Cricetulus griseus: one gene and its partner. The protein of the gene in region 1 binds, or shares a complex with, the protein of each later gene. Links are inferred from orthologs where the notes say so. Each region holds a gene or a part of one and is shown in the gene's direction. Other genes may lie near its edges.

Region 1 (4,470 bases):
TGAGACAGGAGAAGCCTGGTTTGCAGGCTCTTGTCTCAAAACAGAAGCGGTCCAAGCTGGCCAAGGCGAGTGAGAGAACAGGTGGAGTCCCCGAGTGGCTCTGAGGAGAGAGTACAGCCCCACCGCAGCTTGGCTTTCCACGCTTGCCCAGACAGAGGCGGGCAGGGCCGCGAGTTCTTTGCTCCAGAGCCTTCTGCTGAAGCACCTGCACATTCTCTCAAGCCTGGAATTCCCTCATCCCTCCCTCATTCCTCATTTGCTCGGGGCAGCCCGCCTCCAGCAGAAAGGCAGTGATCCTGTGCCCCGTGCGCATTGCATCTGGGTACCTGGGCTGGCTCATTGTGAAAGGAGCGAGGAATTCTGTCAAACAAATGCATCAGGATAAGAAGTTCTCTGGTTCTTGCTTTATTTGTGCAGCCGCGAGTGAGTGAGGGCTCACTCGCCCCATAAAGCCCCATAAAGCTCACGTCTGCTGTCTGCTTTTTACCCACGGCACCATCCACCACCATTCTGCGCCCTTTCTACCAACGGCCAGTGTCCTCCCCATCTCACAGATGAGCTTCAGGTCCCATGCGACCGTCTCTCTCCCACTGCACATTTACAGATCTGTTGGCAGAGAAGGGACACTGTCCTTTCTACAGGCTGGATTCCTAGAATTCCTGCGATTGTTAGGTCATGGAGTTAGACCATTTTTTTATTTTAATAAATACTGCCAAATTACTTTCCAGAAAAGATGGAGTGGCTGGCAGCTGCAGGCGGGGTGCAAACGCCTGTCTTCACACATTCCAATTTACAGTTGGCACTGTCTGGGGTCAGTCTTCTACAATTTCCCACACCTGGGTGTGTGGGGCTGGGGGACAGAGACTGTTTGAGCGTGCTGGTACCCAATGGCGAGCTTAGTTTTGGCTGATGCTTTCTCCACTCCCAGTTTGCCTGCTGACTGTAGGTGCTGTCTTTGTGGGTGGAGTGGTAGGAACCGCTCCCTGAGGAAAGGGCCAGGGAATGGAGGTTTGGATACTCGAAAACAGCCCCTCAGAGCTCACTGACTTGAATCTTTCAGGGTTTGGGTCCAAGGGTGTTGGCTCGGTTCCTTAGATCCCGCCCAATGTCAGAACACCCTGGGTGCTTCGGGGCTGGACCACAGCCAGACTGCGCCTCTGGTGCTGCACAAAGAACACCCAGGAGATGCCCGCGGGCACCTTGAGGAAGGTCAGTGGCTCTGTGCCATTTCGTACGGCCTGGATGCAGTGGGTGGACACCGGTCCCTAATGTTAAAGACCTGGAAGCCCTCAACAGGCCCCCTAGCCACCGCGGTCTGCCAGACAAGGCAGGAGGAGGGGAAGGCAGGAGCCCCAGTACCAGCTGGCTTTCCAGACTCAGTTTCCCGCCCCGAGGCAGTGTGTATGAGGAAGGTCCAGGATAGTAAGGGATTGGGCCTTCGTTATCCTGTGCCAGCGCCGCGGGGATAGCTTAGCTGCCCGGGGTCCAGACTCGGGGATCGCTGGGGTGGGCGGCTAGGGGATATCGAGGGCTGCTGCCAGGGACAAAGCAGCGGCACCACCCCAAAGCGCGGGCCAATGGAATGAATGGGCTATAAATAGCCGCCAATGGGCGGCTGGCGACGCGCTCCTTAAGAGCTCCGGAGCAGCGAGCCGCCGCTGTTCGTCCGCGCTGCGCCAGGAGCTGCCCAGGCACACTGCGCCCCGCTCCGTCCGGCATCCCGGTGAGCGGGTCCCAGGGTCAGGGGGGGCCGCGCGGGGCGTCACGCGGAGGGGTGCGGGACCGGGGCGTCCTTCGCGGCCGCACTGCGCGGGGCGCGCACCGCACCCACAGGGGACTGGGGATGCGCAGGCGACGGGCGCAGAGGATGCGGAGCCCGCTGACCTTGGCGGCGCCCGGGGGAAGCCTCGGGGGTCCCGAGCGACCTGCAGGTCCCCGGGGGCCGGCGGTGCGCACAGCTCCCCTGACCCTGCGCTTCCCCGCAGCCCGCCGCCGCCGCCGCCGCCGCCGCCATGCCTTTCTCCAACAGCCACAACACCCAGAAGCTGCGCTTCCCGGCCGAGGATGAATTCCCCGATCTGAGCAGCCACAACAACCATATGGCCAAGGTGCTGACCCCCGAGCTGTACGCCGAGCTCCGTGCCAAGTGCACACCGAGCGGCTTCACGTTGGACGACGCCATTCAGACCGGCGTGGACAATCCGGGTATGCGCACCCCTGTGAGCGTCAGGCTCGCGTCTCCCCGACAAACCCCCAGGACGAGGGTCCCCCTGCCCTTCCCGCAACCTCCGGCGGGCTGGGGTCCGGTCTTCCCCCTTCCCGCGCTGCAGAGGCCTCAGCAGCTCGCTCCAGCCTGGCGGTGACGTCAGTGTCGCCGCGCCCCTCCCCCAGGCCACCCGTACATCATGACCGTGGGTGCGGTGGCGGGCGACGAGGAGACTTACGACGTGTTCAAGGACCTCTTCGACCCCATCATTGAGGACCGGCACGGCGGCTACCAGCCCAGCGATGAGCACAAGACCGACCTGAACCCCGAGAACCTGCAGGTGAGGGGCGGCCGGGCCGGGCCGGGCCGGGGAAGGGGGCTGGGCGCTCACTGCCGCCACCACTGTGTGTCCCCAGGGCGGCGATGACCTGGACCCCAACTACGTGCTGAGCTCGCGGGTGCGCACGGGCCGCAGCATCCGCGGCTTCTGTCTGCCCCCGCACTGCAGCCGCGGGGAGCGCCGCGCCATCGAGAAGCTGGCGGTGGAAGGTAGGGTCCGGTCGGGTCGGGTCGGGTGTCACCGGCGCGCGTCTCCCCGGGGCACGGGCAGGGTCCCGGGTCCAGCCTCCAGCGGGGGCACTCGCTGCCTGCGGAGCGGCGGCGGGGGGCTCGCTCGCCCACCGGGGCCTTGAACTCTGCACCCCGCAGCCCTGTCCAGCCTGGACGGAGACCTGTCCGGCAGGTACTACGCGCTCAAGAGCATGACCGAGGCCGAGCAGCAGCAGCTCATTGACGACCACTTCCTCTTCGACAAGCCCGTGTCGCCGCTGCTGCTGGCCTCTGGCATGGCCCGCGACTGGCCGGATGCTCGCGGCATATGGTACGAGCCCTCCCCGCCTCAGCCCTCGGAGGGTGGGGTCAGGCCGGCGCTCCTGGTCCCCTGCCGCGTCAGCCTGTCCCAGCCCTCGGCAGGTGACCTTGGTCCCGCAGGTGTGACATGCCTGCGCTGCGGGAGGCCGCAGTCTCCAGGGACTCAAGGGTGGGGACCGGTCTCCCGGGAGCCGGCGCTTCTTGTTTTCTCTGCTCCTTCTCACTCCCGACCCGCAGGGACTCTGCCAGGCGCCGGTGACGCAAAAGCCTCCGCACCCGTCCCTCCGTCCCCGCTGGGCTCCTACCCCTGCGGACTGTGAGGGCGGAGGTGTGGAGGTGTGCTTCCTCCGCTGGGGTGGGCTGCTCCCCTGCTCAGCCCCTTGCAGCCACACACCGCGCGATTGGTGACTGGGGTGTGTGAGTGAGTGTGAGATTGATTGGTGACTGGGGTGTGCGTGTGAGTGTGAGATTGATTGGTGACTGGGGTGTGCGTGTGAGTGTGAGATTGATTGGTGACTGGGGTGTGTGAGTGAGTGTGAGATTGATTGGTGACTGGGGTGTGAGTGTGAGATTGATTGGTGACTGGGGTGTGTGTGTGTGTGTGGTTCCCCGCTCGCCCTGCCTTCCTCCAGTGTGGGCTTACTTGGGAGTGAGTCTTGTGACAGCCACACTCGCTAGAATAAGCACCTCCATGACTTGGGAAGCTCTTTGTTTGAGGTCACCTACCTACGGTGTCTTTGGGTGAGATCTAAGACCGTACTGGGGGGGGGGAGCGCTTTGGCTTGACTGTACCCCTCCCCTAGGCACAATGATAACAAGACTTTCCTGGTGTGGATCAACGAGGAGGACCACCTGCGGGTCATCTCCATGCAGAAGGGGGGCAACATGAAGGAAGTGTTCACCCGATTCTGCACTGGCCTCACCCAGGTCACTCTGAGGGCTTGGTGCCGGGGAGGGGTCGGGGCAGATCCCAGAGTCCACGTCTCCCTCCCGGGGTCCCTGAGGGCTTCCAGCCAGGCTTCCCTCCGAACTCTGCCTTCTCCACCTCCAGATCGAAAATCTCTTCAAGTCTAAGAACTACGAGTTCATGTGGAACCCTCACCTGGGCTACATCCTCACGTGCCCATCCAACCTGGGCACCGGGCTGCGGGCCGGCGTGCACATCAAGCTGCCCCACCTGGGCAAGCACGAGAAGTTCTCGGAGGTGCTCAAGCGGCTGCGGCTTCAGAAGCGAGGCACAGGTGAGGGGCCGTCGTCACAGGTGCGGGCAGAAGGTTCGGGTTTCCTCAGTCCTGCCCACCTGCCTGTCCTCTGTCCCCCCAGGTGGTGTGGACACCGCCGCAGTCGGCGGAGTTTTCGACGTCTCCAACTCGGACCGCCTGGGCTTCTCGGAG
Region 2 (4,301 bases), on another chromosome or scaffold:
CTAGACTACACAGCCATCCTCTATCTGAAAAAAAAAAAGCACAAGCAAACAGCACGCAGTGGTTAAAACTAGTTACTAAATGTTTCAATTGAGAAGCCAAACATCTCAAATGGAACCAAATCTCCAGCCTTTGGAGCCCAGCCTGTGCTTGTGAGTAGTTCAAAGACTTCTGCAGATAAGGTAGTCTCCTCAACCTGCAAGAGAGGGAAAGTGGGAGTCTTTCCTGAGCAAGTGACTTACGGCATTATCATTTCATGGTGCAGGGGAATGTCATGGATGTTGAATAGACAAGGGACAGGAAAAGCAGCAAACTCACACAGCTTCCTTTCAAACCTGTAATTGCCTGGAAACAGCACCCCAGACTATGGTGGAGAATTGAAACTGAAAAGCCACCTAGATTGAAAGTCTAAACCCTCATGTGGACAAACTGAGGGCACCTTAACAAAGCAGCGCTCTTACCAACTGGCAATTGAAAGATAGTGGGTCTCTTTGCACACCTGTGGTGACCCTGTGATCCATTTTTTTCTAACAGCAATCAGCCAGCAGTTATTTACAAGTAGAATCAAAACGTGTACAAGAAGGGCAAAATAGGGCATGGAATGAACTTGCAGCCCCCAAAGAGGAAAACAAGTTCTTTCAATCCCCCTCCACTATCCCTTGCATTTTTGTAACATACAGACACATTTTTCCATAATACACTCCCAGCAAAATTGAAACCACATGTGCAGATGGCCAGTCTGGGCTGTGCATGTTCCTTTGCAAGCCGTTCCTGTGAGCTGCTGCAAAAGCGGCTTTCTCGGCTCCTGGATGCTGGGGCTTGTCTGAGATGCCCCTAAGTAGCAAACAAACCCCTTCCTACACAACAGCCCAGCTCCCTTCATTTTCCAAAAGTTACAAAGTGTATATTTCCTTCCTGATAAACTCGAAAGCTTGCTCCCTGATTGGTCTCAGTTTAGGAAAGGGCATGACATCAGCAACTTTGCAGACTTCAGGCCTGGGGGGCTGTTGTGGACTTTGGACGCTCTCCAGTCTGCTAGTTGGAGTGTATGTGTGTGCACGCTTGTGTGTTTGTGTGTGTGTGTGTGTGTGTGTGTGTGTGTGTGTGTGTGTGGTGTGTGTGTGTGTGTGTGTGTGTGTGTGTGTGTGTGTGTGTGTGTGTGTGTGTGTGTGTGTCTGAGGATCTGTTTGGCCACAGGTAGTACTCACATTACCCTGCCTGTGCTCTTCTCTGGTGGACGCTCTCCAGTCTGCTAGTTGGAGTGTATGTGTGTGCACGCTTGTGTGGTGTGTTGAGTGTGTGTGTGTGTGTGTGTGTGTGTGTGTGTGTGTGTGTGTGTGTGTGTGTGTGTGTCTGAGGATCTGTTTGGCCACAGGTAGCACTCACATTACCCTGCCTGTGCTCTTCTCTGCTGCAGGCTGCCTGGACCAGGACGCGTGCTGTTCAGCCAGCCACAGAACTGGAATTTCCCAGGGGCAACAGGAACATGGTATTCGGGTTTTTCTGAGCAACCGAAGTGGAACATAGTTTCCTGACCCATTACAGTACAATGGACGGTGGACGAAGGAGCAGGCTTCAGAGGCTAGGAGGCTGCCCTCATCTCAGATTCCTTTCAAATCCGTTGATGGGGGGTGAGTCATAGACAATGTGACATCAGAGTGCTGGGGAGGGTGGTTAGTGTGCTCAAGAGAGAAAAAAAATAGCTGGGCTATATCAGTGGGTCTTTCTGTGGGTTATCCATAGGGTAGCTAACTGGACAGACATCTGCTCATAGGTATTCTAGTCTGAATTCCTTAAGTGGTTATTTAAAAATATACCTTTATCTGTAGAGTCATAAAAAATGAAATAAATTTTAATTATCACAGGGCATTTTCTAGTGGTGAAAACTTTTGCTCCAAGGAATCATTTTTTGTGGGTCAGATATATTACTTATTAAATAGGAGGTTTAAGAGTTACTTATTAATAGCAGTGTTTTGGTCTCCTGTGTAGTCCAGGTTGGCCTTAAACTCATTATCCTCTTGTCTCAGCCTCTGAGATGCTGAGATTATAGGTGTGTGTTTGTGTGTGTGTGTGTGTGTGTGTGTGTGTGTGTGTGTGTACATGCTTGTATATGTGCACCAACCCACTAGGTCTTATAAGAACATTCTCGAAGCTATTTTGTATTTGGTGAAGCCAGGCTTGTCAAGGATGTTGGCTGGTTGATTGACTTTAGAAATATTTTTTAAAAGCTGCAAAGGTTTCCCACAGGTATGAATTGTCCCTGTTGGGTGATACATTGGCTAATGTAGGGTCTCATGCATTCTCTCACTGCCACTCTCCTATAAACATCCAGCAGGTTCCAGATGAAGGAATTCTGGGCCTAAGCATTCAAGGAGACAGTATTACATTCAGCACACTTGGTAGGCTGCCCATAACATTTGTCTATTAGAAGGACAATAAACAGGAGTTCTAAAGTCCCTTAGGACTTAATAATGTCTTTCTGTACAGGTATGTAAGTGGAAAACTATAGAAAGTAGACAATACAAAATCCATTTCATCTCTGATTGAGGAGACAGGCTTGCACATCATCCCCCCATTGACATGGTTTTCCTTGCAAACTATGCGGAGTCCTCAATTATAAGCAGGGCTTCCATATACAAAGTCAGAACTGAATTTATCAGTATGTATGGAGCACAGATTAGGAATAGTAGGAAGTTAGAGTGGCCTTGAGACTCATTCTCAAAATAGGGTTTGATGAGTATTTTTAAAGCACCAATACAATCATTGTTGGAAATGAAGAATTCCGAGGTGTTCTCAACAGTCACTTTACAGCAAAGTCTTCTGTTTTTATTTTTGTTTGTATGTGGAGAGAGGAAATAGCCATTTTCTCCTGGAGGTTTTGCTGCTTAGAAAGTGGACAGCTTGTTCAAACTAGGATGGAGAGTATCTTGGAGTCAATTTAGTCAATTTGGAGAGGCAGAACTGGATGATGGAGCTTGTTCATGCATGCACGTGTGTGCACACATGGAAGTGAGTGCATGCATTGATATTTGAGTGTGAAGGTGGAGGCCAGAGGTCAACACTGGGTATCTTTCTCTACTGCTCTCTACCTTGTTTTGTGAGACAGGGTCTATTTCTCACTGGATCTGAGTATTATGTTTCGGCAAGACTTGATGGCCAATGAGTCCCCAGGATGTGCTTTTTATGCTCCTCTAGCACTGGGGACAAATGTGTATACTCCCATGCTTGGCTTTTTACATGGATTTTGGGCATCTGAACTCATATCCTTATCAGGCACTTTATTCACTGAGTCATCTCCACTGCCACTGGATGATAAAGCTTTTGAAGCTATGACAGGGTTAGGCTTTGTGGGTTGGAAACTGGAATTCATTGATGGCTCTGGAGCAGAGCGATGGCAATAATGAAGACTATTGAGTAGATTTATATAGTACTCCCAGTTAGGATAGATCATGGTGACACACAGAACATGCTGAACTAATCCACTTGTTCTCCTATGCCTCAGCATCACCTAGGAGTTGTTAACATGGAGGTGATGCTGCTTCTGTGATAGTGACAGGACCGCGGTGAAGCCTGGATATCTTCATTGTCAACCAGGTCCTAAGTGGTGCAGACAGGAATTGTCAGGGACCACACTTTAAGAAACATCACACAAATCCATGTAGACAGCTGATACCTAGGTCAAACTTCAGAAATGATGGAGAGTGGGCTTCAATTCTGAAGGAAAGATCAATGGGATTGTGCTGCTTGATACAATATTGTGGCAAATTGATAGCATCCTAAGTTGTGAAGTTTTAAACCTCACATTAGGTTAAACTGAACTAGTTAAGAGGGAAATTGGAAAGGGTGATGGCTGAGGAGTAGAATAAGGAAGGGAGGATGCAGAATTCTCTCCCTCTAGCTCTGTTATATGTCCATGTATGTGCATGTGTGGGTATACATGAATATGTATGTAGGTATGTGTGAAGGTCAGAAGTCAATATTGTGTGTTGTCATTAATCCCTTGCCACCTAAATATTTTGAAGCAGGGACTCTCATTGCACTTGGAGCTTGCTGATTAAGTAAGTGTAGCTTGTTAGAGAGCTCCAGGGATCCTCCTCACAATTATCGCCTCACACTGGGATTACAGATGCATTGCCATAGCTGATTTTTTGGGGGGATGCGGTGGATCTGAACTCATGTCCTCATGCTTATGTGGCAAGCTTTTGAATAAATTGAATTTCTTGCTAGCTCTCCAGAGTTCTATTTTGGACATAAAAGTATGAATAATATTGCCGAACCCACATAGCCTGATGATATGGGGCTA

What was found.
Region 2: the proteins of Ckb (region 1) and Asb9 are in contact, whole or in part, in a cryo-EM structure (PDB 6V9H), measured with the Homo sapiens proteins. The link is inferred for Cricetulus griseus from reciprocal best matches to the Homo sapiens genes CKB and ASB9. Residues at the interface, in NP_001814.2 of Homo sapiens: Asn63, Pro64, Gly65, His66, Pro67, Tyr68, Ile69, Thr71, Arg130, Arg132, His191, Val198, Ser199, Pro200, Leu201, Leu202, Leu226, Trp228, Glu232, Ile238, Met240, Asn286, Arg292, Gly303, Lys304, His305, Glu306, Lys319, Arg320, Gly321; in NP_001026909.1 of Homo sapiens: Leu25, Asn27, Pro28, Leu29, Met30, Gly31, Asp32, Ala33, Val34, Ser35, Asp36, Trp37, Pro39, Glu42, Ile45, His46, Trp60, Ala67, Asp68, His69, Glu75, Ala100, Asp101, Trp102, Val111, Asp133, Leu134, Ser165, His166.

What each region holds. Positions count from the first base shown.
Region 1 is NC_048598.1:182,359,467-182,363,936, forward strand, and holds the start of Ckb (creatine kinase B-type), read left to right. Parts: upstream 1-1,642; 5' UTR 1,643-1,723; intron 1,724-1,985; 5' UTR 1,986-2,012; coding exon 2,013-2,205; intron 2,206-2,391; coding exon 2,392-2,546; intron 2,547-2,622; coding exon 2,623-2,755; intron 2,756-2,914; coding exon 2,915-3,086; intron 3,087-3,879; coding exon 3,880-4,003; intron 4,004-4,127; coding exon 4,128-4,317; intron 4,318-4,399; coding exon 4,400-4,470. UniProt on the Homo sapiens protein: Reversibly catalyzes the transfer of phosphate between ATP and various phosphogens (e.g. creatine phosphate).
Region 2 is NC_048604.1:99,600,770-99,605,070, forward strand, and holds the start of Asb9 (ankyrin repeat and SOCS box protein 9), read left to right. Parts: upstream 1-1,426; 5' UTR 1,427-1,547; coding exon 1,548-1,629; intron 1,630-4,301. UniProt on the Homo sapiens protein: Substrate-recognition component of a cullin-5-RING E3 ubiquitin-protein ligase complex (ECS complex, also named CRL5 complex), which mediates the ubiquitination and subsequent proteasomal degradation of target proteins.